7 linked regions of the Macaca fascicularis genome follow. The protein of the gene in region 5 interacts with the protein of the main gene of each other region in a pairwise test. Links are inferred from orthologs where the notes say so. Each region holds a gene or a part of one and is shown on either strand. Other genes may lie near its edges. The genes, in order: TRMT61B, TUFM, RUSC1, LYRM2, FAM9B, CHRAC1 and CCDC106.

Region 1 (4,140 bases), on a different chromosome or scaffold from region 5:
GCTATAAAGAGAAGTCAACACCTAACAAATTTAGTACTTAAATTCCTCCTTAGAGTAGAACAATGTGACTTATATCTGTAACAAATGGAAAGGCAGAAAGTACACTAAGGATGCCTATTTATAACTTCATGAAATGTAACTAATCTTTCTTCATTTTGTCTAATGGGGAGAAAGGAGACATGGGGAAGCAAGATAAAATTACAAAAGTCTTTAGTTTTCTTCAAGAGCTTACGATACCATGGCCAGGAGCGGTCATTCTCACCTGTAATCCCGGCACCCTCAAGGGAGGATCCCTTGAGCCTAGAGAAGTTTGAGACCAGTCTGGGCAAGTTAGGGTGACCCCAACACTAAAAAAAAAATTTTTTTTTTGATTAGCTATAGTGGCATACACCTGTGGTCCCAGCTACTCAGGAGGTTGAGGTGTGAGAATTGTTGGAGCCCGGGAGGTTGAGGCTACAGTAAGAGGTGATTGAGCCACTGCACTTTAGCCTGGGTGATATAGCAAGACCCTGTCTTTAAAAAAAAAGCTTATTATACCTCAGTAGCCTAAGCTTCTGAGGAAAGTTTTCTTAGTCCCTGGGTAGACCATTTAAAATACAGACTGGATTCCTACTCAGAAACTTCTAATGGTCCTTCACTACAAATGGAATAAAATACTCAAACCACACCTCATAGAGGGACCCTCATCTGACCCAGAGGCCACAACAGAAACTCTGCAGTATTCCTCCCTTTGCAAGAACAATTCTTATCCTAGATCTTTACAAGGCAAGCTCTTCCTTATTTAGGTTTCCTATCAAGTGTACCTCCTTGGAGACCATCTCTACTCACCTGACATAAAGTATGCTCGTACCCCAGGTCACCCCAATGTCATTGTTAATGTATTTGTCTTCATGACACTTAATACTACTGGAAATGACCTTATTCTTTCATTTACTTGTTTGTTCTTTGTCACCCCTTCTAGAATGTAAGGTCTATGTTGAGAGTGAGGACTGCAGTTCAACACTATACTTCCCTAAATAGTGCCTTGAGTATGTAAGGCAGTCAATCATTTGCTGAATAAATAATGAACGAATCCTGATCTGGAGAAAGGAGGAGTTGTGTTACACAGGAACATTCTACTCAAGGACTGTGACTGTGACTAAGGATTGAAATAATCTGCTAGCAATAGATGATTAGCATAAACTTCAAACTAGGGCTGGGCGCGGTGGCTCCCGCCTGTAATCCCAGCACTGGGAGGCAGAGGTGGGCGGATCACTTGAGGCCAGGAGTTGAAGACCAGCCTGGGCAAAAAGGTGAAACCCCTGCCGCCCCCCGCCCCGCCCCCGTCTCTACAAAAATTAGCCCGGGGTGGTGGCACATGCCTGTAGTCCCAGGTACTCAGGGGGCTGTGGTGGGAGAATCGCTTGAACCTGGGAGGCAGAGGTTGCAGTGAGCCAAGATCGCAACATTTCACTCCAGCCTGAATGACACGGTGAGAACCTGTCTCAAAAAAAAAAACAAAAACAAAAACAAAAACAAAAACTGAAACTAGGCTTTAGGCAGTTAACTTTTTAATAAAGACGTCATTTTATGTTTGGTGTTGAATGTTAGCTATTTTAACATAAAACTCTATTTCTTCCCTAAAGGAAAAAGCACCATAATGTATCTACTGTTGATAAAATATACTCTTGTAACATGATTATTAAATATTATTAAAATATCATCATAGTAGTACTAAAAAATTGTTCCCTAAGAGTTCAACATTCTCTTGAGTCCTGAAGTTGTAAACTTAAGAGTAATGGGGAACAAAATTAGTACTTACTATGTACCTAATGAGTTCACATCACCCTAACAGAAAGTTGAAATATTATCCACATTTTAAAAAAAGGGGAATCGAGACTCCCAAGTTAAAATTAAAATCTGGGCGTTTCCTAATGCTAATTTTCATCATGATATGTAAAAGTTATATCCATTGGTTTATCTTAAAAGCCTGAGTACAATAAAAAATCCAAACGTTCTGAGATATGCTTTGAGTACATTAATCAGGACTGAGTACTGCATCTGTCTTTGCTCCTCCTGGAAACAATACACACCTTATCTCCATCACATTACCTTTGGGACTGTTATGGCAGTCCCTCTTTTCATCAATAATACATAGTCTTCCAATGCTGGCCTCCTCAGCGTGAACTGCTTACCCAAGGAACTCCTCAGTATCTGGCCGGGAAACTTGCCCACGATCTTGCTGAACGGGACTGCCCCCCAGCTACTATTTAAGAGTCCAACTTTGTTCAATCTAAATAATTTCTTAAATTGTGTTTCTCTCTTCTCAGTCTCAGCTAAAATCAGTTCCCCAACCTGAAAGGGTCTCTGTCTGGAAGTTGAACAAGAAGGGGAGACGTGAGGCTCTTCGATCTCGGTAGCAGACTGGGCCTGCGAGAGCATCGAAGGATCCTCGGATATCTGGTGTGCCGGACCGCACCGGCCCTGGTCTCCACTCGAGTCCTCGCGCTCTCGAGGGGATGACTCTTCCCGCGGAGTAGGCAGTCTGAGGTTTTCCAGTGACGAAAGACATCCGGTCCCAATGTCCGAGATGCTCAGAGGGAGAGATGGGCAAGACTCTGCTCCTGGGGCTTTCCTTTGTGCCGCCTCGTGCTCTCTTTCTCCGTCTCGCAGGTCTCTAGGCGAGGACCTGCAACACAGTGACTGAGCTCCTTCGAAGGGCTCTTGCCCTAGGCCGCGCAAGAATGAATTGGTTCCGAGTCCCTGCCGCACGCAGAGCAAGACAGGACCGCTGCACCTTGCCATCAGCATGGTGTTTTGCGCAGGCGCCGTCGCAGACGAGTGACGCAACCTAGCGCGACCCTTCCTTTCCCTGTCGCGCGCATGGCGCAGCAGCCCGACGGCGCCCGCGTCGGGGAGGGGGCGGTGCGCTAGGTCGAGCAGTGGCGCCGGAGCAGCGACGTTCTGGTTGAGTGACCATCAAGGAGTATGTCCTTGCGCGCGGGCGCCCGTTTTCCTTTTCGGAATGTGGGTAAATAATTTACCGCTGGCCGGGCGCGGTGGCTCAAGCCTGTAATCCCAGCACTTTGGGAGGCCAAGGCGGGCGGATCACCTGAGGTCGGGAGTTCGAGACCAGTCTGACCAACTGGAGAAACCACGTCTCTACTAAAAATACAAAATTAGGCAGGCGTGGTGGCACATGCCTGTAATCCCAGCTACTAGAGAGGCCGAGGCAGGAGAATCGCGTGAACCTGGGAGGCAGAGGTTGCGGTGAGCCGAGATCGCGCAGTTAGACTCCAGCCCGGGCAACAAGGGGAAACTCCGTCTCAAAATAAATAAATAAATAAATAAATTTACCGCTAACAGACGTCCTCCAGGTTCGCTGGCGGTCAGGAAGATTGAGACAAAACTTACAGCGCTGTGCAAACTGAAATGCCAGGCTTAGCACGCTAGTGTCTTGAACACGGACATCACCTAGTCACCCCCAAGATATACGTATGAGTAGAGCTAATCCGGAGATGCATTTGACAAACGGCGTGGGACGCTCCAGTTGCTGATTGGCTCTCCTTTCCCAGTTGACTGCGACATCTCCCAGCCCCAAGTCCCTTTTGAAGGGGCTGTGACAGCCTGCCGGTCCCCTCACCCACCCCTCACGCCCGGAGAGTCCGAGAAGGTCGATTAGAGTACTCACTATGTGCTTATGTAACAGATGTTTTCATTATTAAAATATAACTAGTTTACCCTCCCAAAACTAAATAGAAGTGTCTTAAAATGGAAACAGGTATCTTTGGAGGCCAAAGTTATCTAACGTTAAATATCACTAGCCTACCCGCATTTTGGGAAGCCGAGGCAAGCGGCTCATTTGAAGTCAGGAGTTCGGGACCAGCCTGGTCAACACGGTGAAACCCCGTCTCTACTAAAAATACAAAAATTAGCTGGGCGTGGTGGCACGCACCTGTAATCCCAGCTACTCGGGAGGCTGAGGCAGGAGAATCTCTTGAACTCGGGAGGCAGAGGTTGCGGTGAGCTTAGATCCCTGCAATGCACTCCAGCCTGGGCGACAGAGCAAAACTCCTCTCAGGGAAAAAAAATTAGTCGGGCGCGATGGTGCACGCCTGTAATACCAGCACATTGGGAGGCTGAGGCGGGGGGATCACAAGG
Region 2 (3,958 bases), on a different chromosome or scaffold from region 5:
CCTAAGCTTTCATACATAGTGAAACTCTCAGAAAGAAGAGACTTTTTCTAGGAAATCTTTCTGTGGGTACATGCTGGCAGAGCTAAGCTTTTAACCTGCTTCAGCTTAGGGCACGCTGGATGAGGACTCCCGCCCCTAAGTCCATGGGCCATGCCCCTTCTGTTGGCTAGCAGCGACAAGCAGCCCCTTTCCACCTAAGGAAATAAAGTCACTTGGGTTGTCACAGTGTGTCTTTGGAACTATGAGTGAAGCAAAGGTGATATAAAAAGTGCTCCCTCCACCCTACATTTCTCCCACCCACCGTACCTTCTCTGGGGGCAGGATAACCCGACAGGCCATGTCCCAAGTCAGGGAGAACATGATAGGCATGAAGTGGGACACAAAGGGCTTGTGGCGGCCACCTTCCTCCTTGCTGAGGATGTAAACCTGGAGGAGAGTGAACAATGAGGGTGAGATGGGCTCGGCTGGAATGCTGGGGACAGCTTGGCTCAGCCCTGCCCACCGTCACCTGGAGCCCTCACCTGGGCCTCCACCTTCTGGTGGGGCTTGATGGAACCCGGCTTGACCATGACCAGGCCCCGCCGCAAGTCCTCCCGCTTCAAGCCTCGAACCAGGGCCCCGAGGTTATCTCCGGCCTCGGCCCTCTCCAGGTTCTTGTGGAACATCTCAATGCCTAGGAGGAAAGGGGAAAAGGAGTGGGGAGAAGGAAGGCGAGTGTAAGATGGAGGGAAGGTACAAGGGATCTGCCGGGGTAAGGCCATCCTGCAGTCAGCCCCTGGTCCCCAGGCTGGCTTCCCGTACCTGTCACCACAGTGCGGATGTTCTTGCTGTGTCCTAGGAGCTCACACTCGTCTCCCTTCTTTAAAATGCCACGCTCTAGCGTACCTGTCACCACAGTGCCACGGCCTGAGAGGGAATAAGACAGGACATCAGGGACCCCGAGCTAGGCTGCTGCTAGAGAGAGTGCGTGGGAACAGGCAGAGTCCTCACCAGGGACGGAGAACACCCCCTCTACAGGCAGCAGGAAAGGCTTCTCCAGGTCCCGGGTGGGCACTGGGATGTAAGTGTCCACAGCATCCAGTAGCTTCTGCACAGACTTCAGGCCTAATTCAGGGTCCCGACCCTGTTGAGGGGAAGCAACAGGACTCTGAAATCCCCATTCTACTCCCCTCGATTATCAAGAGCCACTTCCCAGACACAAAGCAGAGCTCTGGGTGCCCATCTAGCCCCACCCTCTGCAGCAGCCACCCTGCCTGACCCGGCCTTCACCTCAAGGGCACAGAGAGCAGAGCCTACGATGACTGGGGTCGCCTCCCCTTTATAGCCAAACTCGGTGAGCAGCTCCCGGATCTCCAGCTCCACCAGCTCCACCATCTCAGAGTCCTGGACAGCATCAGCCTTGTTCACATACACCACCACATGCTCCACCCCAATCTGTAGACAGCAGAGAGACAGGGACAGTATCCAGAGGGGCCCAACTCCCCACTCTTCCCCTCTGCACCTTTACCCAGGCTCTGAGTACCTGTCTGGCCAGTAATAAGTGCTCTCGGGTCTGGGGCATGGGGCCATCATTGGCTGCTACAACCAGGATGCAGCCGTCGAGGGGTGCAGTGCCTGTGATCATATTCTGGGGAGGAGGAGGAGAGGAAACAGCCAAGTTCAACGAGCTTTTCAGTCCACATCCATATAGGCAAGTGTAGCAGTTAGAATCTCAGGCCCACCTTTCTCTATCATCTCCTCACCACCCATTCTGAGTGGCCATGGCCACAAACCTGCCATCTCATATCCAAACACTGAATATTTTAATCTCCTCCCCACAAGCCTAACATTTATCCTGACAAGAGGCAGCTTCTGGCCCTGTCTCCAGTGTCCCAGCAACCCTCACCTTAACATAATCTGCATGACCCGGGCAGTCTGTGTGGGCGTAGTGGCGGGCGGCAGTGCTATACTCCACATGGGCCGCATTGATGGTGATACCCCGAGCTCGCTCCTCCGGGGCATTGTCAATCTCCTCATACTTCTTGAATTTAGCCCCACCTCCCTCGGCTAGAACTAAAGGAGAAAGAGAACACACCTCTCAGCTAAAGTTGCAGTGCTAGAGGCAGAGCTTAGACCACGCCCCTGAGCCCTCCCACCTAAATACATAACCTCCTCCAATCTCTAACTCTTCCAGCAGAGATAACTGTGGGTCAGAAAGAATGTTAGGGGGCCTTTAGGGTCTGCCCTGTGACTTCTTTGGGGTACAGCCTCTGCTCTTGGAGCCACAGTAAACACCTCCAGCAGACACTCTGCTAGCCTTGCCCCCCTGGCTCCAGGTCCCATCAGTAGATAAGGCGCTACTGGACGCCCCAACCCCACTCACTCTTCGTGATGGCTGCAGTCAGCGTGGTCTTGCCGTGGTCCACATGGCCGATGGTACCCACATTCACATGTGGCTTGTCGCGCACGTAAGTCTTCTTGGCCTCCACGGCCAGGCCGCGGCACAAGAGAGGCAATGCCGGAGTCTTCAGCGGCCGCAACAGACCCTGCAGCAGGAAGGTCCGGCCGGTGGCGAGACCTGCCGGGACCGAAGCTTGGAAGTCAGGCAGGGCAGGGGTCAGACCGAACCCAGCCACCTACCACACCCCCAAAGTGTTCCTGGGCCGCCATCGCCCTCCCCGACTCCTCACCGCTGAAGTGGGGCGTCGCGCGCAGCAGGGTGGCTGCCGCCATTGTGGTCATACTCGCGCCCCAGGAACCGGGGAACGGGGCCCAGGAGCCCGAGCGTGCAGCAGAGAAAGGGCGCCTGCGGCAGGAAGGCACTTCCGACGGAAGTAAGGACTGGGAGGGCAAGTCCGGGCCCCTCTAGCCGCCAGTGTCTATGGCCGTCTCCGCCGACGTCGGGCGCGCGGTTGAAGACGTCATGGAGGGGGCTGGTGTCTCGGGGGCGGAGAATGATGGAGAGGGTTTCCACCACTCGGGCCTCACGGGCTGAGGGGCAACGTAGTTCTCTCTGTCGGTCGCGGGGGGCACTGGGGAGCGTCCCCTAAAGCACCGGCGCCGCGAAGGCTCATGGGCGTACTAGTTGTCAGGGCGACGGGCTGTGGAGGTGCTCAGCATGGGAGTCAGGCGGGCTAGGCCGGACCCGGAGGGAGGGACTCGGGCTCGGGGAGGCAGCTGCGGCTCCGACTGCTCAGGAACCAGCTGGGCCCGGCAGAGAGAGACCCCGAGTCGTCTGGAGTCCGACTCGCTACCCGGGTCTTGCGAGATATCTGGCCCCTTCTGCCGTAGCTGGAGGTAGGGGACCAGGTCCTGGACGCCTTTCGGGGATGGGGTGAAGTGTGACCTCTCTCTCCGCTGAGGCTTTGTTTTCTAATCTGTAAAATGGGAATAGTAGGATCCACTTCATAGGGAGAGCCTGACCTCTGGCCCTGAGAGGAGATTAACTGGGTAGGAGTCAGGGTTGGGCCCCGTGAGGTCAGGCAGCTTGCTGGGACCTTGTACTGCTAGACCTCACAGGGCCAGAGCCCACAAGACAGACAGCTTCGCTGCCCAACCCTGTAGCCCCTCAGCAGCCTAAGGAGCAATTCCTTTGGGCATCGCGCCACCCATCTAATTTTGCAGATGAGGAGCCAAGGATGAGGAGCCAGCTAGGGGAGTCTTTAAGGGCAGCCTGAGTCTCCTTTATTCTGTCTGTGGCCCCAGCACCTAACAGGGTGGAGCATGCAGTGAACGTTGAATTAATGAGTGCAAGGGTAGTCAATGTCCCTTAACTTCCACATCCATCATCTTATGGCAGCTTCCACATGGCACTCCGAAGTGTTAATTGTGGTTGCTTAACCCTGATTTATGTTTCGGAACTCATCAGATCCTGAGACTCAGTGGACAGTGTTGCAAAGATTCCCTAATTCCTTCCCTGGAGATATGATTCCGTCGGGTCTATGCACGGACTGGGAAGCTATGTAACAAACACCCTTCC
Region 3 (4,029 bases), on a different chromosome or scaffold from region 5:
ACAGGCACCAGCTTCACTCCTCCTCTGCCTAGGAACCTCATCCTTCCTCCTTTGCTGCCCTCCCCCTTCCCGCCCAGGATGACTACCTTGACCTCTTTGGGGACCCCAGTGTGACCGGCAAAGTTGGCACTGACATCCAGGACAACAAATGCAGCTGGCTGGTGGTTCAGTGTCTGCAACGGGCCACTCCGGAACAGTACCAGATCCTGAAGGTGCCTGAGAGAGGGTGGTGGGTCCCTGAGCTGGTGGAAAGGGATAGAGTAGTGGTTCTCAATTGGAGGCAGTTTTTCTCCCGAGGGGACATTTGGCAATGTCAGCAGACATTTTTTGTCATCGTCATCACAACTCTGTGTGTGTGCATGTGGTACAGCCATCTAGCTGGCAGGAGCCAAAGATGTTGCCAAACATGTAGCACACAGAACAGCTCCCCCAGACAGGATTATCTGGCCCCAAATTTCAATAGTGCCAAGGCTGAGAAACCCTGGAGTAGAGGACACCTGGTCTGAGGCAATATGTAGGGAATATTTGGGATAGGGAAGGGAAGCTTGGGATCCTAGCTACCTAGAAACACTTGAAAATTGGAGGGAGGAAAGGAGTGGGTGGCTTTGGAGATGTTCTGAAATATGAGAATGAGGGGAGTGGAGGGGTCCTGGAGGCTCTGGGGAAGGCCAAGCCCGTTTTCCTGTCTTCCAACCCCTTTTAGGAAAATTACGGGCAGAAGGAGGCTGAGAAAGTGGCCCGGGTGAAGGCACTATATGAGGAGCTGGATCTGCAGGCTGTGTTCTTGCAATATGAGGAGGACAGTTACAGCCACATTATGGCTCTCATTGAACAGTACGCAGCGCCCCTGCCCCCAGCCATCTTTCTGGGGCTTGCGCGCAAAATCTACAAGCGGAAAAAGTGACCTAGAGATTGCAAGGGTGGGGAGAGGAGGCTCTCAATAAATAATTGTGTAACCTTTTTGTGGTTCTGTTCTTGCTCGGCGCAGCCAGAGTCTGGCTCTTTCCAGAATGTGCGGGGTGGGGTGCTGGGAGGACTCGCTGCACAGAAGCGGGACCCAGGGGCCTTGGCATCAGGGCCAAAAGCTTGGGATACATCAAACCCGCTAGGTGGGTGACACAAGACGCTAAGCGCTGGGGGCGGGTCTGAGCTACGCCACGCCCATGCGCGAAGGGGTGCAGATGCGCTGCGCAGAGTGGGTTGTGCTAGTGCCCCTCCCCTCCCGCTCTGTGCCCCGCCGGGCGGGGACCGTGGGAGCCGAGGACAAGCCCAAGGCCGGAGCGGTTCCAGGAGGACCCTGGTGAGGAGGGCTCGGCCCATGGGTGTAGACCGATGGACCAGGGCACGAGGGGCGGGGCAGGACAAGGGAGCAGGAGAAATGAATAGAGAAGGGGTGCGGTGGTGACTGAACGATGGAGACGAATGCGGAGAGAATGGACATAACGCTGTTCTGAGGGGCGAGGGCGCAGGCTGGAGCCCGGCGGAGGCAGCCAGCAGATGTGGAGTTGACGAGCTGACGGCTGCTCCATCCTTTTCCTCTCCAGCTCCTACCCCTTTCCTGCATTCACCAGGCAAACTCTGCATATCGACCCACCCCCATCCCCCGCCTCCTTTCAGGGCATCTGGGTGGGTCTCCCTGGGTCCCTTCCTGTGGGAGTAAGGGGTAGGCAGGAGGGCAGGGCCAGATTGCGGCAGCAGGGACCCGGAGGTCCATTCTGGGCCCGGACCTGTTCCGGGCCCCCGCCCCCCTTCGGAAATCCAGAGCGCAGCCGCGTTCTCTGACCCTCCCGGCTCCATTCCCGGAGGGTTACATTCGACTCCACCTGCAAACACTGCAGTGGAAACTAATGGCCAGTCGATTGCGATTTGCATCTCATTGAAATATCTTCCAAAGCAGCCAGAGCCTTCAGGCCTGCTGCTGCCGTCAGTCACCTCAGTGTCCTTCCCGCAGCTCCTGTCCTCACTGGCTGGGCTTCGCCACCCCTGTCTTCTAGGTCTGCACCTGTGGTTGCCAGGTAGGTGGATGTGAGAGACCCTACCCTCCTGGTTCTCTAGAAGCCATCCCATCGCCGCTGGCACCATGCTGTCTCCTCAGAGAGCTTTACTCTGCAACCTCAATCACATCCATCTCCAGCACGTCTCCCTGGGCCTGCACTTGTCCCGCCGTCCTGAGCTACGGGAAGGGCCCTTGAGCACATCCCCTCCCCCAGGAGACACTGGGGGCAAGGAGAGCAGGGGCCCCTGCAGTGGCACCCTGGTGGACGCCAATTCCAACAGCCCAGCTGTGCCCTGCCGGTGCTGCCAGGAGCACGGTCCGGGCCTAGAAAACCGGCAGGACCCATCACAGGAGGAAGAGGGGGCTGCCTCTCCCTCAGACCCAGGCTGCTCTTCCTCGCTCAGCTCCTGCTCAGATCTTAGCCCCGATGAGTCCCCCGTCTCAGTCTACTTGCGGGACCTCCCTGGTGATGAGGATGCCCACCCTCAGCCCAGTATCATCCCCCTGGAGCAAGGTTCCCCACTGGCTTCAGCAGGCCCTGGCACCTGCTCACCGGACAGCTTCTGCTGCTCTCCTGATTCCTGCTCCGGAGCTTCTTCTTCACCCGATCCTGGCCTGGACTCGAACTGCAACGCCCTGACCACCTGCCAGGACCTCCCTTCCCCAGGCTTGGAGGAAGAGGATGAGAGCGCGGAGCAGGATCTCCCTACCTCTGAGCTCTTAGAGGCGGATGATGGGAAAATCGACACTGGGAAAACGGAGCCCAGTTGGAAGATTAACCCAATTTGGAAAATTGACACAGAGAAAACTAAAGCTGAATGGAAAACCACGGAAAACAGTAACACTGGTTGGAAAAACAACGGGAATGTTAACTCTAGCTGGAAAAATGAACCTGAAAAATTCGACTCTGGTTGGAAAACCAACACAAGAATAACTGATTCTGGCTCGAAAACAGATGCAGGGAAAATTGATGGAGGATGGAGAAGTGACGTCAGCGAGGAGCCGGTGCCCCACCGGACAATCACGTCCTTCCACGAGCTGGCCCAGAAGCGCAAGCGGGGCCCAGGGCTGCCCCTCGTCCCGCAGGCCAAGAAAGATCGCAGTGACTGGCTCATAGTCTTCTCGCCCGACACCGAGCTGCCCCCCTCGGGGTCGCTGGGCGGCTCCTCGGCACCTCCTCGGGAAGTCACCACCTTCAAGGAACTCCGGTCCCGAAGCCGGGCCCCACCCCCGCCAGTCCCGCCTCGAGACCCCCCAGCTGGCTGGGCTTTGGTCCCGCCCCGGCCCCCACCCCCGCCTGTCCCTCCCCGAAGGAAGAAGAACCGACCTGGACTGCAGCCCATAGCGGAGGGGCAGTCCGAGGAGGGCCGGGCTGTCAGCCCAGCGGCTGGCGAGGAGGCCCCAGCCGCGAAGGAGCCGGGAGAGCCGGGCGCGCAGGCCGGCCTGGAGGGTAAGAGGTCGCAAGAAGCGGGAGGAGGGCTGGGCTTCGGCCGCTCACGCCTCCTAGGCTTCCAACCCGGCCCCCTGTCTTCCCTCCATTCTGTGTCACCCATCCTCCCCGCCCCTTCTACCAGGGAGCGCTCCGGGAAAGGGAAACTGGGTGGGTCATTGGGTTACGGGACTAACTCTTTGCTCCCTCTTCTTCCCGCCCCTCCTTGCCTGGCTGCCCATCCCGCTGCCCTCCTTCCCTCTGCGCCTGGCCCCGCCAATCCCGCCTGCAGCCGGTCCCCTCCTGCTCCCTCGGCCCCTGGTTTTCCGGTTCTCGGCCGACGGGCGCCCCCTGTTGGAGGGTGGGGGCGCAGGCGCAGCTGGGTCTCTGCTCCTGGCTCCTCTGGCCGGGTGGCCTGGCGCCGGGCTGCGGCTGCTGGGGGCGCCGAGCCCCCCAGAGGAGCAGCTGCTGCCCGTCCGCCTGTCCCCAGTGGGAGCCTATTCGCCTCCGACTCGGGGAGCCTTGCCCTGCCTGGCCAGCCCCGAGCTGGCACTGCTGCTGTCCCCGCTCTTTCCCAGAAGTAGCACCTTCCCCGCCGCGGCTC
Region 4 (4,074 bases), on a different chromosome or scaffold from region 5:
CTCATTAAGCTTCTCTTTCTCTTCTCTTTCCAGCAAAGATCTAGATGCCCAGTGGTGATCTTTTTGATGAGTCCTCTACCAAACTATGACACATGTGAAGAACGTATCTGAACAACCCTCAGGGATAATGCAGGATTTTTCGGGAAAGTTCCAGGGTATCTCCTGGTGTCAGTATACTTTCAGTCCTACGCCTCAGAGTATTTTTTTTTTTAATAACAGCTTTATTGAGATACAACTCATACCTTACATTTAAAATGTACAATTCAGTGGATTTGAGTGTATTCAGAGTTGTGCAGCCTACACCACAAGCTAACTGTAGTATATTTTCATCACCCTGAAAAGGAACCCTACACCCATTAGCAGTTACTCCATTTCATCTACAGCAAGCCTAGGCAACCACTAATCTTCCTGCCTATTCTGGACATTTCATATGAATGGAATCATCATGTGATCTTTTGTGACTGGCTTCTTTCACTTAACGTTTTCAAGGTTTATCCATGTTTAGCATAGTTTAACATATATAAGTCATTTGTTTCTTTTTAGTGCCAAATAATAGCTATGGGCATAGGAGTAGAATGGCTAAATCATACAGCAGCTGTTTCATGTTTTGAGGAACTGACAGTCTGTTTTCTGAAGTGGCTACACCATTTTACATTCATTCCCACCAGCAATGTATGAGGGTTCTCTAATTTCTGTACATCTTCACCAACACTTACTATTATTTCTCTTTTTAATTACAGCCATTCTAGTGAATGTGAATTTCAGGTTTTTTTTTTTTTTTTTTTTTGGAGAGTCTCACTCTGTCACCCAGGCTGAAGTGCAGTGGCACGATCTCAGCTCACTGCAACCTGCACTTCCTGGGTTCAAGTGATTCTCCTGCCTCAGCCTCCCAAGTAGCTGGGACTACAGGCATGCACCACCACGCCAAGCTAATTGTTGTATTTTTAGTAGAGATGAGGTTTCACCATGTTGGCCAGGCTGGTCTTGAACTCCTGACCTCAAGTGATCCACCTACCTCAGCCTCCTAAAGTACTGGGATTATAAGCGTGAGCCACTGTACTCAGCCTCCTAGTAGTTTTGATTTATACTTCCCTAATGATTGTGTCCAGCATCTACTGGCCATTTGTTAGTGGTTTTTTCTTCTTTTAAAAACTGCTGAGACATCCATAAACATTTTCAAAATGCAGGGTATGTTTTTCAGTGTTAAGGCAACTGTTTTGATGTGTTTTCCTTTGCTGTCTATCACCAAATACTGTACATACAAATAGAAAGACTGGGCTTTGTGTTGTCCATTGTTAATCCTAAATGCAACGAAACACATGGAGACTTTGAAAATCCTTCAGAATAATGCTATAGTTAAGATTTTGCTAAAGCAAGTGATTTTTCTAACTCCTTGAGCTGCATATTGCCTTGAGTAATCATCATCCGGATTGTATCCTGTAGAATAAAGTGAAATCTGGTTATTGTTTTACCTGGTTAAACAAGGTATAGCTATACCGTTTTTTTGTTAAAATCAACAACCAATAGTACGTATTTGAACTGCTGTCTTTTAGAAAAGACGAAAGATTTCCACATACATACACATAAAACGTACAACATAAAAGTCGTGATAATGCTGAAGAGTGTCGATACAGCAATATTAAATTTTAAAACATCATTTAAAATCGGTAACATTACAAGCAATGATCAAGATATACCAACTCAGTGGCACTATATTCCAAGATGTCTGCTAAACTTAAAAAAAAAAAATTCACTGATCAATAAAAAGGGTTAGGATCTGTCCTCGCCATGATTTTGTTCTCACCTCTTCGGTGGCACTTTTGTTTCTTTTGAATTCTTCCCTTGCCCAATCCTTCAGGTATTTGCGATCAGAATCATTTGGAACTTGCCGAATTGTTTGCAAAATCCTTCTGTAGAGGAGAAGAACTTGTTGCCTTCTTATGAACTGTAAAAGGGAGGAGCAATAGCAATTACTTCTGCACAATCGCCAGCCTGAAAAGTTCTACTTCAGCAAACCGAGCTGCAACCAGAGTCCTCGTTGGTCAATTTTGAAAAAGGCAAAGAAAAACTTTTTTCTTTTTCCGCCAGGTGCAGTGGCTCAGGCCTGTAATCCCAGCAGTTTCGAGGCCAAGATGGGAGGACCACTTGAGCCCAGGAGGTCTAAGCTGAGGTAAGCCCTCATTGTGCCACTGCACTCAGCCTGCACGAGAGTGAGGCCCTGTCTCAAAAAGATGTTTTAAAGAAAGCATCACGAGGTTCATCTGATCTTTCTGCTTACTGCTCTGTCAAATCTAAGAACCATTAAAAAATCAGCTGACTACCGGGATGAAAAGGGCTGCCAGTCTCCTAGAAGTTGTTATTACAACGACAGCACTTTTTCTAAATTAACAGTTGTTCAAATCTTTGGTAATCTCATTTGCCGTTTGCTACAGCTCAGTGCAATAGAGAGTAGTCTTTACCGTGGGCACTGAGCAGCTGATGCACCGGGACTCCGGGAAATCAAGCACCTGACGCGTCTCACGCGACCGCACCAAACCAAGCAAGCCGCCCGTGCCTCCCGTCAGGCCCCGCGAAGCGAAGCACCGCCCCGCAGGCATCGGGCCAATCTCAGAGGGCGCGCACGGCGCGTCAGGACCCCGGAACCCGCCCCGTTGGGTGGAGGGAGAGATGGAGAATCCAGAAGCTCAGACCCAGGTAAGCTGCTCTGGAAGGCAGAGAACCGCCGGTACCTGCTTTAACGTTAGCGTCGCTGGGGGTAAGCGGGAGGCAGCCATGTCAGCCAGAGATCTGCCGGAGCCTCAGCGCGCAGAAGCGGAAGTGGAGTCCAACCAAGGGGTGTGGCGAGCCCGGTTTCCTAGGAGACGGCCCGGGGTTGCGCTCTGACTGAGCGCGAGACTTCGGGACTGAGCCCTAGGGTTAGGAGCTGGTTATGGGCTGCGCTGGCCGGTTTTCTCGTCGGTAAAATAGGATAGCAGTGCACCATAGGGTCGTTGCGATAACGAAAGAAAGGTAGGACACTTAGCACAGTTCTTGGTAAAGAGTGTTCAAATGAAAGTGAAGGAGGCCGCGCAGTGGCTCTTGCCTGCAGTCCCAAGACCTTTGAGAGGCCTGTAAGGTGCCTGTAATCCCAGCTCCCCGGGATGCTGAGGCGGGAGAATCGCTTGAACCCGGGAAGTGGAGGTTGCAGTGAGCCGAGATCGCACCACTGCACTCCAGCCTGGGCGAGAGCGAGACCCTGTCTCGGGAAAAAAAAAAAAAAAAAAAAAAGTTAAGGTTTTTTTGGGGGAAAGAGGTGAAAACGTATTTGAATGTTCTTTCGAGCCTTTAAAAATGTGTATAGTTGAAAATACTAAAATTGAAAGTGTTGATTTCTTTTACAATTTTTGTTGGTTTTTTCTCTCTCGTTTTCGTCCTGTTCTTTTGTAGCGCAAGCGTTTTCCGGGAGCGGTGGTCTTCATGATCCTTTGAAACAAAGCTTCTGAATGGCTGCTCCACTGCAGTCTTAAGCACTTTCATCACTAATAACGAGGAGCCTAACATCCCTAAGCCTCAGGCTTTTGCTTTTATTTCCTCATAGCTGTTTTATCTTTCCCACAATACACACCACACACCTTCAGGTTAAATCACCAGAAGTGGAGTTAGCGAATCTTTGCTATATTAATTTTCCAAGTAGTGTTGTATCGAATTAAAATAAAACCAAAAATTTCATTCAATTTTTAGTTTACTGGGGACTTGCCTGCCTCGCCTGTTGGCATCCTGGGGCTCCCTATTCCTAGCTATGTTCTGGCTATTTCCCCTCTCCTGGCCTGTTACCTCCCCTGTAAAATGAAATACAGCATCTACCTCAGTTGTGTATCTCTAATGTACTGAGAACAGGTCCTGGCACATGTAAGAACTCTAATCATTGGTTCTTTTGAACTTTACCAGGCATTGTATGAATGATGCTAACTGCATGACCATCTTATCAATAATATATATATCAAATTTTGTCTAATACATTAGCTGTAATAGTTAACTAACTTTTTAAAAGGAGTGAAGTTAAATACCCCTTGCCTTTTAAAATTATACTGATTT
Region 5 (4,145 bases):
GACATGTATTTTTTGTATCATTTTGTTTTAGCTCCATTCTTACATACAGCATATACTTAGATTTTTATTTTGATCCAAGTTGGAAGTCATTTCCTTTAGATTCTGAGTTTATCTCATTCATATTTCTTGCTCAACAGATTCACTTGGCCTTAATTTTGTTCCTTTATGTTATGGTCTCTGGAGTATTTTCTTTATTTTCCAACTTTTACTACAGGATTTGTGTTCTTTGTGTGTGCTCTTTTTGGTTATATAGACATTTAAGGCTGTGGATTAGTTTTCCTGATGACTGCCTTTGTAATTTCTTTTCTTTTCTTTTTTTTTGAGGTGGAGTCTCGCTCTGTCGCCAGGGTTTCACCGTGTTAGTCAGGATGGTCTCGATCTCCTGACCTTGTGATCTGCCCGTCTCAGCCTCCCAAAGTGCTGGGATATAATTTCAATAATATAATGAAACTCTATATCTTGATTTACAAACTTTAGGCAATATTTATTTACTCCTAACTCCAAAACAACTCTCCCCCTATTATAGGCGACTGGAGGTGGGAAAAAGCTGAGTTAACGATAAGTATTAAGGCATTAATTTGTGGGTGAAGGTTGTGGCATATGTCTGGATAAGTCTGGAGCATGAGGGTTTGTGGGCAAGTCTGGGGCATGAGGATGAGAAAGAAAAGTAGTGAGGAAACAAAAATGGTTATGGGCAGGGCACGGTGGCTCATGCCTGTAATCCTAGCACTTTGGGAGGCCAAGGCGTGCAGATCAACTGAGGTCAGGAGTTTGACACCAGCCTGGACAACATGGTGAAACCTCGTCTCTACTAAAAAAAAAAAAAAAATTAGCAGGGCTTGGTGTTGGGCTCCTGTAATTCCAGCTCCTTGGGAGGCTGAGGCAGGAGAATCACTTGAACCCGGGAAGCGGAGGTTGCAGTGAGCTGAGATCACCCTGCTGCACTCCAGCCTAGGCGATAGAGTGAGACACAGTCTCAAAAACAAACAAAAACAATAAAAGCACAATCCATTGATTGAAAAGGATGCAGCTGGGCATGTTGGAAGCACACAGGGCATGGGAGGGAGCCTGGGCCCAACCCATAGGATGATGGCCATTCTAGCCAAAGGGGCAGGGGTGGCTGGAAAGAGCCCCAGGGCGAGGTTCTAGGCCCTGTCCACTTGGCCTCCATACCAAGTCCTGTGTCCCTCCCCAGGAGCAGAAGCTGAAAGAATGTGGGAACAGAGGCCCCAAAGGGCCAACCCCACCTCAGTCCACAGCAACCACTTGCTGTCACTTAGGGGAAGGGGGAGGGCGTGCCAGCAGGGGGCGTGGCCCCACACGGCCTGTCACACGCATGTGCACTGAGTCGACCAATCTGCGAGGAGCGTAGGAAGTGCTGTCGGCAGCTCTCACGAGAACTGAGTACTTGTTTTCTTTTTTGTTTTTTGTTTTTTGTTTTTTGAGACAGTCTGGCTCTTGCCGCCCAGGCTGCAGTGCAGCCGCGCGATCTGGGCTCACTGCAACTTCCGCCTCCCGGGGTCAAGCAATCATTCTGCCTCAGCCTCCTGAGAGGACCCGTTTTCTAAGAGATCCTAGTGGTGCTGTTGTCTGCAGGTTCTTTGAGGGCGCCACATCAGGGGTCCCTCAGGTGAAGCGCTCGCGGTGGGGAGGCGGAAACGCAGGCACGAGGCCCTCTGGGAACCAGGGTGTGAAGCGCTGGGCCGCCCGCTGACCTGTGAGGAAATGCCCCTGGCGTGGTCGCCTGGGGCCTGGGTCAGGGCGAGGCCCTGAGGGTGGGCTGGGGTGGGCCAGGGCAGGGAGGGAGCTGGAGCCGCCTGGGTGATCCCTAGGGCCCAGGAGGGCTTGTGCATGTGTTGGGGGGAGGTGCGGAAGGTGGGGGGAAGTGGGGGTGGGGCGAGGGTGTTGTTGGGGACAGTCTGAGTGGGGCCCTCCTGCCCGGCCTCCCGTCAGGACAGGACACTTGGGGTCATCAGGGGTCCCCTGTGCATCCAGGCGGGTGAGTGACAGTGCAGCCCCTGACATTCCTCTGGAGGTGGCTGGGGAGATCCTGTGTCACCCGGTGGCCCTCCCAGCCACACGGGGTCGCTGGGGGACCCAGAGGTAGGGCTGAGTTCTGTCCCAAAGGTGCGGCGAGGATCCCGCAGACGCCGTGGAGTTCAGGTGTGAGGGGCAGCTGTGAGCTCTGCAGCCAGCCCCGGGGACGGGCTGGACGGGCTGGACGGGCCAGGACAGGAGGGGACACTGGCATCTTTTCGGTCCCCTCCTGCTCCCACAGGAGGCCCAGGGCGTGCCAGCCCCACCCTTCTTAAACCTGTGATCCCAATGGCTTTCCTTTCCGATGCCAGGGTTCCTTTGCTTCCTTAGTGTGCCTTTGCCCTCATCAGGTTCAGGGATCACCTGTAGCTTCCCAGGACAGCCAGCCACGGATCCTGTGGGCAGGAGGGCTGCCAAGGCCCAGTTGGAGGCTCAATTTATGGCGGCCCAGGGGAAGGAGCGTGCAGGTAAATACAGCCCAAGGTGACCCGGAAGAAAGTGCACGCCCAAGAGGACGGTCTGTCTGCTTTCTGCGCTGGGGGCACAGGGGTAGCCCAAGGACCCGGGCCCCTTCGTGGCTTTGGAGTCCATCGTGCACGTGCTAAGATGCCCCAGGTTTTCAAAGCAGGCTCAAGGGCCTTAGGCTTCCCGTAAAAGGCTCCCCTCATAGCGGGGTTACAGATGCTCCCAGAGCAGCTCTTCTCCATGAGTGCAGTCATGACATCCAAGGGGTCTGACGTGTAGTACGTTGTTTACTGGGACTTGAACCCGAAGGGCTTCCAAAAGTGCCTTGATAAAATGGTCAGAAGCCGGTGATTCCATGTACAGCTCTGCTTTAAAGCCTTAATTGGCAGATAGCCAAAAAAAAAAAAAAAAAAAAAAAGTCTACAACTAGTACATTTCTCCACAAAAAAAGTCCACAACAGTGTCTTCCTCTAAAAAAGGTTTGTCTTTTAAATTTTAATGCAGGAAAGGATCCAGTCAGTGACGAATGTGAGGAAAGAAACCCTTTTACAGAAACAAGGGAGGAAGATGTAACTGATGAGCATGGGGAAAGAGAACCTTTTGCTGAAAAAGACGAGCACACGGGGTAAAGTGTTTAAGTCACTTTTGCCTGTCGGATAGGGTCTTTTAGGAAAAGTCACCTTTGGACCATGTCATCACTGTTCTATTCTGTGCAGAACATTTCACATAAGACATTTCTTTTCCCAACAAACATGGCATTTTGTGTAGTATTATGCTAAAATTTTGATGTAACTTTTTTTACAGGGCTAATACCAAGAAGCCAGAAGATACTGCAGGTATATTTTAGGAGTTATCTGTCGTTTATGAAAATTGTTTTCAATCATGCAACTGTTGCAGTAAGTTATATGAATCAGTGGATGACAAGACTGTCTTAAATGGCTTATCATATGTAGCATTTAACATACGTATTTAATGTAATCTGTTTGATAAATTTTTCTTACCTCTTTGATTGTTGATGTGGAATGTGAGAATGCTTCTAATAATGGTGAAGCGAGATGGATGGCTTTTCTTTCATACACGTGGAAATTTAATTGTTTGGAGAATATTAGAGGACATTGGAGGAGAAATAGCTCTATTCGTTCCTTTTAGTGTACGCAGATTAAGTCATATATCAGGTTTTTTTTAAGCTTTCACTTTAAGTTTGGGGGTACATGTGCAGGTGTGTTATATAGATAAATTGCATGTCACAGGGTTTTGGTATACAGATTATTTTGTCACCCAGGTTATAAGCATAGTACCTGATGGGTGGTTTTTGATCCTCACCCTCCTCCTACCCTCCACTCTCAAGTAGGCCCAGTTGTCTGTTGGTCCCTTCTTCCTGTCCATATGTACTCAGAGTTTTTAATAAGAGTTTTTCATGTTCTTAATTTAGCTATTCTATTGTCACAGCTTTCTGATTTTGTTTTATTTGAAGTACAAGAGAAAATTGAATTCTCTAAAATCATTTTCTATTATTATTCCAGTAATAAACTGTGTAGTACAAAAGTAAGGACAACTTTTCTATCTAGTGAGAAACATGTAATTGGATCCAAAAACTCATAAACTTTATATTGCTGTGTGAAATATTAGTTGCACTGTTATAG
Region 6 (4,059 bases), on a different chromosome or scaffold from region 5:
GCTGCTGTCCCCTTGGTACCGCCGGCCTCCTGAGGGCCAAGTTCCTGGGTTCTCGTAATCATCTTCTACCTGGTCTCTGTGACTCCGCCCTTAAGCGCACCCACCCCCTCCCAGCCCGCAGCTGCAGGGATCCTTTAAAAACTGCCCGGGCCGGGCGCGGTGGCTCAAGCCTGTAATCCCAGCACTTTGGGAGGCTGAGACGGGCGGATCATGAGGTCAGGAGATCGAGACCATCCTGGCTAACCCAGTGAAACCCCGTCTCTACTAAAAAATACAAAAAATTAGCCGGGCGTGTTGGCGGGCGCCTGTAGTCCCAGCCACGCGGGAGGCTGAGGCAGGAGAATGGCGTGAACCCGGGAGGCGGAGCTTGCACTGAGCTGAGATCCGGCCACTGCACTCCAGCCTGGGCGACGCAGCGAGACTCCGTCTCAAAAAAAAAAAAAAACTGCCCGGGACTCCTTTGCTCAAACCCTACCACGACTTCCCATTTTTTTTTTTAGATAAAAAAAAAAAACCAACAGGACCTAGCCCCGGGCTGCCTGTCAGACCTCAGCGAGCACGCCAGGCTCTGCACACCGTCTCTCGGAGCAGCCCCGAAGAGGCTGTTCCCACCAGGCTCTAGGACCTCCTCCGGGCAGCTCCCCGCCCTTCACCCCCAATGAAGGCGCCTCTCCCCATCACCCCGCAGCGCAGAGCGGTGCAGCAAGCCCGGCCCCGCCGCATGGCCCGTGCTGGTCTCTGCTCTTCCACCGGCCGCGTGGCTACCGGCGCAGGACGCATCTGCTGCCGCTTGGTCGCCCCCCCAGAAATTTGTGCTTCAGGAAAGCGTCACTTTTGCCCACGGCGGCACGCCCGGTCCTAGCACAGCGCAGGCCCTTAACACACAGCACCGAGCGACGAGGCCCGGACTCAGAGGGTTTTGCTTGCCCATTCGCAGAGCCCTCACCCGGATCAAAATCGTAGTCCGCGATCGCAGCTCGGAGACTCCCGAGAAGTGCGCGCCCCCGCAGCGCCCCGACCCCCGCCCCTCACTAGACTCTGGACTCCTGGCTCCACATCAGGTCACACACTCGGTTGGGGGGGAGGAGCCGAAGGGCGGCGCATGCGCAGATGGGGCGCGCGAGGCATCACGGAGCTCGTAGTCTCCCGGACGGGCCGCTCCAGGCCTCGCGGCGGCGCCTCCCCACACTACAACTCCCACGGGGCAGCGGGCGCGGCTCCCCGCACCCACCGGCTGGCCGGCAAGGCAGCCACTTAGCAGTCGGGCCCGCCGGCTGCCGCCCGCGCGAGGGGCGGGAAGATGGCGGACGTGGTCGTGGGCAAAGACAAGTGCGGGGAGCAGCGGCTCATCTCGCTGCCTCTATCCCGCATCCGGGTCATCATGAAGAGCTCCCCCGAGGTGTCCAGCATCAACCAGGAGGCGTTGGTGCTCACAGCCAAGGCCACGGTGAGGGGGTAGGGCGGGGGTGTGAGCCGCCCTTACCCGTCGCGCCCCGCCCCGCCGGGCTCCGGGCACTGCCCATTCCCCTTGGGCCCGCGCGCCGCCGGCTGCCCTTGCTGGGCTCGCGCGCGCCCCGCTGTCCCCGTCCCACGCCGGCGCGCGCCACGGTGCCCCCGCGCCCCTACACTTTCTCGCGCGTCTTCGCCCCGCCCACCCCGCGCCGCTCCCTCCGGTTCCCGAGTTTTTTCGCCCCGCCTACCGCGCGCCTCTCCCGCCCTTTCTCTCCTTCCTTCGCTCCGCCCGCCCCTCCCTTCCTTGTGCACCTTCGCCCCTCCCACCCCACTGTCCTCCCGCCATTTCTCGCGCGCTTCCGTCCGGCAAACCTGTAAACTCCCGCGTTCCTCTGCGTGCCTTTCGTCCCGCCTACCTGTACGCTCCCGTCCTCCCTCGCGTGCGGCTCGCAGTTTCCGGCTCTACCCGTGGGCGTCGGTGTCGAGTGGCGCTTTTCTCGTTAGGTTTTTTTGGGGGCTTTTTCGCCCGAGATTCCCACTCCCGGCGTTCCTTTTCTCGTCACTGGCCTGCTTCGTGCTTTGGGGACCCTGACTCCTCCAATGTCCCGTGGGAGGTGCAGCCAGGCGCTTCACCCGCCACTCGAGGCTTTTTTCCCCGTAGGTGCGGTGCCAGCTCCAGCGGTCCGAGGCTTTCGAGCCCACCCGCCCGCCACACCTGGCCCCTCGTCTTAAGAGGCAGCACATACCGCAACCAGAATTTAAGGAAGTCCAGGGAACTTAGTTTTACAGCCTGTTTAGCATCCTCTTGGGTGCAAAATAGTTAATTTTGTCTTTTTTTAAGAAATTGCGTCTTGATAGTGTTAGGCCAGATGTTTTCCTGTTCTGAAACTGGGCCATGTTTCAGCTACACAGTTAAATGCTTTGGCTTGCCTTGGATTCCATTTTCCAGTCCCTACTTGTAGTTAAGTATATGATGTTCCGACAGTATTGGACTAGAACTAAGGGAAGTGGGAAATTACAGGTTTCTTGCCCGCTTTATATCAGAGCCATGTTTTCCTAGAGCCCAGGGAAATAATTGCATATTCAGCAATTATTGCACCTACGCCACAAACAGCCAGAGGGAAAGTGACCCTGGGGTCATCTGGGGGCATTTGTGTTTTCCTGTACAGTTTCATTCTGTTGGTATTAAGGAATGAGGATTTATGCAGGCACTTCTGATCCCTTATTTTCTGAGATGGAGTTGCCCAGGCTGGAGTGCAGTGGCGTGATCTCGGCTCACTGCAACCTCTGCCTCCCGGGTTCAAGTGATTCTCCTGCCTCAGCCTCCTGAGTAGCTGGGATTACAGGTGCTTGCCATCACACTTGGCTAATTTTTGTACTTTTTGGTAGAGACAGGGTTTCACCATGTTGCCCAAGTTGGTCTTGAACTCCTGACCTCTCGTGATCCGTCTGCCTCAGCCTCCCAAACTGCTGGGATTACAGGCCACCATGCCTGTCTTTCTCATCCCTTATTAACTGAACTAGATGCATTAAAGTCAAAACCTTGAGAAAGGCTCAGTTCAGCCTCTGTAAAAATGAAGACTTGGGCCTGCTATAAGAACTGGGGTGCAGGAGGGAGAAGATGATCAGTTCCGGTTGTTGCATTAGGTCTGAGGATTGTACGTTAGTTTCTAGAATAGAAAAGTTTCGGCAAAATGTGAGTTGTGGTCACTATAGTTGTAGGTGAACCACCTTAGAAACAGTGTATGCAAATAGAAGACTAAAAATGTATTACTGAGCCAAATAGAATTTTTGAATGGCTTTTTGCTTCTTTTCTTTCTTTTTTGAGACAGTCTCGCTCTGTCTCCCAGGCTGGAGTGCAGTGGCGCGATCTCGGCTCACTGCAAGCTCCGCCTCCCGGGTTCACGCCATTCTCCTGCCTCAGCCTACCCAGTAGGTGGGACTACGGGCGTCCGCCACCATGCCCAGCTAATTTTGATTTCGTATTTTTAGTAGAGACGGGGTTTCACCGTGTTAGCCAGGATGGTCTCGATTTCCTGACCTTGTGATCCACCCGCCTCGGCCTCCCAAAGTGCTGGGATTACAGGTGTGAGCCAGCACTGCTGGCCGCTTCTTTTTTTACTCTAGAGGTTGGCCATTAAACAGTTATGATTAATCTTTTTCATAAGTTAGACATCTAAAGCCTCTGGAAAATGCCTGCTTCTCTGCCAGTTTTGATACCGGCTTTGCTTTCTTTCTGACCTCATGTTTTTCTTTTCCCCAGTGATTGATTTCTTTCTTTTCTTTTTTTTTTTTTTTTGAGACGGAGTCTCGCCCAGGCTAGAGTGCTGCAACCTCCAACCTCCACTTCCCAGGTTCAAGCGATTCTCCTGCCTCAGCCTCTCAAGTGGCTGGGATTACAGGCACCTGCCACCATGCCCAGCTAATTTTTTATTTTTAATAGAGATGGGGTTTCACCATGTTGGCCAGTGTGATCTCAAACTCCTGACCTCAACTGATCCGACTGCCTCAGCCTTCCAAAGTGTTGAGCCACCACACCCGGCCTCCGCAGTGATTTCTTGTAATTTAAGAAACCAAGATAATCTGAAGTCTTAATGTAATTTTAAG
Region 7 (2,917 bases), on a different chromosome or scaffold from region 5:
CTCAAAAACTCCCACATCTCTCTTTGTGAATTCAACCTTTTCCCTCAAAAACTTGGGCAAGGGGCCTATGGTCTCGTGGTGTCTGTTACTGGGAACCCAGCATCTGGGGATCTGGCCTTCCCTCTGCTCTGGAACAAACCGCCTCTGACTGCCCTTGCCTGCCACTGTCTCCTCCCACTGATGGCTCCATGCTGGGTGACTGACTCCTTTGCACAGATGGTTTGGTCCTGCGGCCTCGGCACTTTCCCAGTGGGGACCCTGGCACCAGACCCCTCTCCTAAGCCGCCTTCTAGAGGACCCTGTGTCTGGGCCTCCGCCAGCCAGCTCCCTCTGTCTAGATGGAGGTGGAACTCATCCTGCTGGACCCAGGACCCCTGATTTCTCTCAGGGTCTGACCCCCCGACTCCAGCCAAGGCCTGGCCTGCCTCCTGGGTTTACAGAGGCCACTCTCCGGAGGTCCCACCCAGTCCCCAGAAATCTCTCCCTCCCCTGTGGGAACCGCATATACTCACAGGGGTCCTGAGGTCCCTGGTCGGCTGCCTCCCCAAGACCTCTTGCCAACCCAAGCCTCTGAGAAAATGCTGCACCCATTACTACCTCCCACAGACCCCAGCAGGCTCTACTCAGCCACCAGCATCTCTACTGTCCTCCCTGTCCGTTTCTTCAGGGGACCAGCCCAGGTTGGGGGATCCAGTACTGGGGACTGCAGCCTCTCTCAGTCCCAGGACCTGTGATGGGATGTCTGGTCCCATAGTTCACGTGTGTGTCTCTCTCCCCAGAGGACCACTGCCGGATGAAGCCTGGGCCCAGGCGGATGGAGGGGGACAGCCGGGGTGGGGCTGGGGGCGAGGCCTCGGACCCTGAGTCAGCAGCCTCCTCCCTCAGTGGAGCCTCCGAAGAAGGCAGCGCCAGCGAGAGGAGGCGGCAGAAGCAGAGGGGAGGTGCTAGTCGGAGGCGCTTTGGGAAGCCCAAGGCCCGGGAGAGGCAGCGAGGTGGGTGAGGTGCATGGCGCGGGCGCTGAGGGGCCTGGGCTGCTGAATTGCTGTGTGTCCTTCCCAGAGGCCCTCCTTTCTCTCCAAGCCCCTCCAGCTTTGCTGGAGAAAGACCCACCGGGTTCTGTCTCTCCCTCCTCCCTTGTAATCCTGGGATTACAAGGCGTGAGCCATAGCGCCTGGCCTGTCCTGGGTCTACTTTAAGTTTTGGTGAACCCTCGAGGGCAGGGCCACCTTGGGCACCTCCTTAACCTTCATCGGTAAGAAGGAGGTGCGCAGTAGGACCTACCTCGGGGCGGGTGAGGCTTGAATAAGTGAATTCACCTGAGGCAGGGAGGTGAGGGTGATGGCTGGGCGTGGTGGAGAGGCGGGCGGGGGGGGCGGTGTTGTTGCTGGGACCGCGTTGGTTGAACCCGGCCTCTCGGCTCATGTTCTCTCCTCACCCCCCTTCCTGGGCCTGCCTCTTCCCATTTCCCACTGGTCCAAGTACTGGCTGCGCTTCTTCCCCTCCTCTCCGCCCCTCCCTTCCCTGTTCTCCGTATCCTCCTGCACCGCCAGTGCCTCTGCTCGCCGGGATCCTTCCTTCCCATGGCCGTTTCCCTTCCCGTGTCCGCCCCCTCGGTCTTGGCCCCTGCTCCTCACTTCCGTGTCCCCGCCTCCGCCCCGCAGTGAAGGACGCCGACGGGGTCCTCTGCCGGTACAAGAAGATCCTGGGCACCTTCCAGAAGCTCAAGAGCATGTCGCGGGCCTTCGAGCACCACCGCGTGGACAGGAACACCGTGGCGCTGACCACGCCCATCGCCGAGCTGCTCATTGTGGCCCCCGAGAAGCTGGCCGAGGTGGGCGAGTTCGACCCCTCCAAGGAGCGCCTGCTCGAGTACTCCCGTCGCTGCTTTCTGGCCCTGGACGACGAGACGCTCAAGAAGGTGCAGGCGCTCAAGAAGAGCAAGCTGCTGCTGCCCATCACCTACCGCTTCAAGCGGTGATCGCACCACGCCTCCGCGCCTCCGCCCGGGCCTTCCTCCCCCGCCGACCCCGGCCCTCCCCAGGCCCCCGGTGGATGACCTGCGCCTCTCCCTGCCGCGCCCCTGCCCCTCCTCCTCACTCCCTGGGTTGGGGGCTCCCTTAGCCCGGCCCCCAAGCGCGACGGCCCAGGGCCGGCCGCAGCCCCTTCCCGAACGCCGGCATCCCCTTCCGCTTGGGCTGCCCAGCCCTGTCCTCGCCGGACCCCTTCCTCCTGGAAATCAACCAGGCAGGAGGGTGCCGCCCCCCTCTCGGGTGGGGGACTGTATAGACCCCGTCTCCGCCCCAGCCCCGCGGAGGAGCTGCCCACCTGATTCCCGGACAGACCTCCCCAACTCCGCGCGAGACAGAGAATTATTCAGAGAATTTAAATTAAAAAACGACGTGAAAATTTGGAATAAACTGGGCCTCAGCCTTTTCCTAGGAGGGGGACGTGCCTGGGAGGGGGAGGCCGTCGCCCCGACGACGGTGATGGGGTTGCTGGGGCTTCCAAGGGGGTGGGCGGTCAGGCGGGAGGCCGGGTAGGACAGGGTGTAATTAGCCCCCCGGAGGCAGAGACGGAGAAACAGCTGTGCCCCTGAAATCTTGGAGGCAGAGCTCTGGAAAAGAAGCGCGGACACAGCCGGGTGCGGTGGCTCACGCCTGTAATCCCAGCGCTTTGGGAGGCCGAGGCAGGCGGATCACGAGTTCAGGAGATCGAGACCGTCCTGGCTAACACAGTGAAACCCTATCTCTACTAAAAATACAAAAAATTAGCCAGGTGTCCCAGCTACTCGGGAGGCTGAGGCAGGAAAATCGCTTGAACCCAGCAGGCGGAGGTTCCAGTGAGCCGAGATCTGGCCACTGCACTCTAGCCTGGGCGATAGAGTCTCCGTCGCAAAAAAAAAAAAAAAAAAAAAGTA

What was found.
Region 1: the proteins of FAM9B (region 5) and TRMT61B interact in binary tests that used the Homo sapiens proteins (3 or more experiments, as listed by UniProt). The two-hybrid records come from large-scale screens. The link is inferred for Macaca fascicularis from reciprocal best matches to the Homo sapiens genes FAM9B and TRMT61B.
Region 2: the proteins of FAM9B (region 5) and TUFM interact in binary tests that used the Homo sapiens proteins (3 or more experiments, as listed by UniProt). The two-hybrid records come from large-scale screens. The link is inferred for Macaca fascicularis from reciprocal best matches to the Homo sapiens genes FAM9B and TUFM.
Region 3: the proteins of FAM9B (region 5) and RUSC1 interact in binary tests that used the Homo sapiens proteins (3 or more experiments, as listed by UniProt). The two-hybrid records come from large-scale screens. The link is inferred for Macaca fascicularis from reciprocal best matches to the Homo sapiens genes FAM9B and RUSC1.
Region 4: the proteins of FAM9B (region 5) and LYRM2 interact in binary tests that used the Homo sapiens proteins (3 or more experiments, as listed by UniProt). The two-hybrid records come from large-scale screens. The link is inferred for Macaca fascicularis from reciprocal best matches to the Homo sapiens genes FAM9B and LYRM2.
Region 6: the proteins of FAM9B (region 5) and CHRAC1 interact in binary tests that used the Homo sapiens proteins (3 or more experiments, as listed by UniProt). The two-hybrid records come from large-scale screens. The link is inferred for Macaca fascicularis from reciprocal best matches to the Homo sapiens genes FAM9B and CHRAC1.
Region 7: the proteins of FAM9B (region 5) and CCDC106 interact in binary tests that used the Homo sapiens proteins (3 or more experiments, as listed by UniProt). The two-hybrid records come from large-scale screens. The link is inferred for Macaca fascicularis from reciprocal best matches to the Homo sapiens genes FAM9B and CCDC106.

The regions. Positions count from the first base shown.
Region 1 is NC_088387.1:93,349,334-93,353,473, reverse strand, and holds the start of TRMT61B (tRNA (adenine(58)-N(1))-methyltransferase, mitochondrial), read right to left. Parts: upstream 2,801-4,140; 5' UTR 2,791-2,800; coding exon 2,092-2,790; exon of another isoform or gene 2,073-2,091; intron 1,480-2,072; coding exon of another isoform or gene 1,450-1,479; exon of another isoform or gene 1,328-1,449; intron 1-1,327.
Region 2 is NC_088394.1:27,625,553-27,629,510, reverse strand, and holds the start of TUFM (elongation factor Tu, mitochondrial), read right to left. Parts: upstream 2,801-3,958; 5' UTR 2,722-2,800; coding exon 2,670-2,721; intron 2,558-2,669; coding exon 2,363-2,557; intron 2,053-2,362; coding exon 1,886-2,052; intron 1,628-1,885; coding exon 1,523-1,627; intron 1,435-1,522; coding exon 1,270-1,434; intron 1,124-1,269; coding exon 991-1,123; intron 907-990; coding exon 802-906; intron 674-801; coding exon 522-673; intron 427-521; coding exon 307-426; intron 1-306. UniProt on the Homo sapiens protein: GTP hydrolase that promotes the GTP-dependent binding of aminoacyl-tRNA to the A-site of ribosomes during protein biosynthesis. Also plays a role in the regulation of autophagy and innate immunity.
Region 3 is NC_088375.1:105,801,481-105,805,509, reverse strand, and holds the start of RUSC1 (AP-4 complex accessory subunit RUSC1), read left to right. Parts: upstream 1-1,229; 5' UTR 1,230-1,300; exon of another isoform or gene 1,301-1,994; 5' UTR 1,995-2,080; coding exon 2,081-3,446; intron 3,447-3,717; coding exon 3,718-4,029. Other genes in the region: FDPS (farnesyl pyrophosphate synthase), read left to right, coding at 78-212, 704-904. UniProt on the Homo sapiens protein: Associates with the adapter-like complex 4 (AP-4) and may therefore play a role in vesicular trafficking of proteins at the trans-Golgi network. Signaling adapter which plays a role in neuronal differentiation.
Region 4 is NC_088378.1:85,747,372-85,751,445, reverse strand, and holds the start of LYRM2 (LYR motif-containing protein 2), read right to left. Parts: upstream 2,801-4,074; 5' UTR 2,775-2,800; coding exon of another isoform or gene 2,730-2,774; 5' UTR 2,598-2,729; coding exon 2,460-2,597; intron 1,946-2,459; coding exon 1,805-1,945; intron 1,438-1,804; coding exon 1,357-1,437; 3' UTR 1-1,356. UniProt on the Homo sapiens protein: Involved in efficient integration of the N-module into mitochondrial respiratory chain complex I.
Region 5 is NC_088395.1:8,685,657-8,689,801, reverse strand, and holds the start of FAM9B (protein FAM9B), read left to right. Parts: upstream 1-1,345; 5' UTR 1,346-1,630; intron 1,631-2,387; 5' UTR 2,388-2,476; coding exon 2,477-2,504; intron 2,505-3,006; coding exon 3,007-3,127; intron 3,128-3,306; coding exon 3,307-3,338; intron 3,339-4,145. UniProt on the Homo sapiens protein: May play a role in meiosis.
Region 6 is NC_088382.1:150,110,869-150,114,927, forward strand, and holds the start of CHRAC1 (chromatin accessibility complex protein 1), read left to right. Parts: upstream 1-1,259; 5' UTR 1,260-1,300; coding exon 1,301-1,447; intron 1,448-4,059. UniProt on the Homo sapiens protein: Forms a complex with DNA polymerase epsilon subunit POLE3 and binds naked DNA, which is then incorporated into chromatin, aided by the nucleosome remodeling activity of ISWI/SNF2H and ACF1.
Region 7 is NC_088393.1:63,605,755-63,608,671, forward strand, and holds the end of CCDC106 (coiled-coil domain-containing protein 106), read left to right. Parts: intron 1-779; coding exon 780-992; intron 993-1,661; coding exon 1,662-1,978; 3' UTR 1,979-2,417; downstream 2,418-2,917. UniProt on the Homo sapiens protein: Promotes the degradation of p53/TP53 protein and inhibits its transactivity.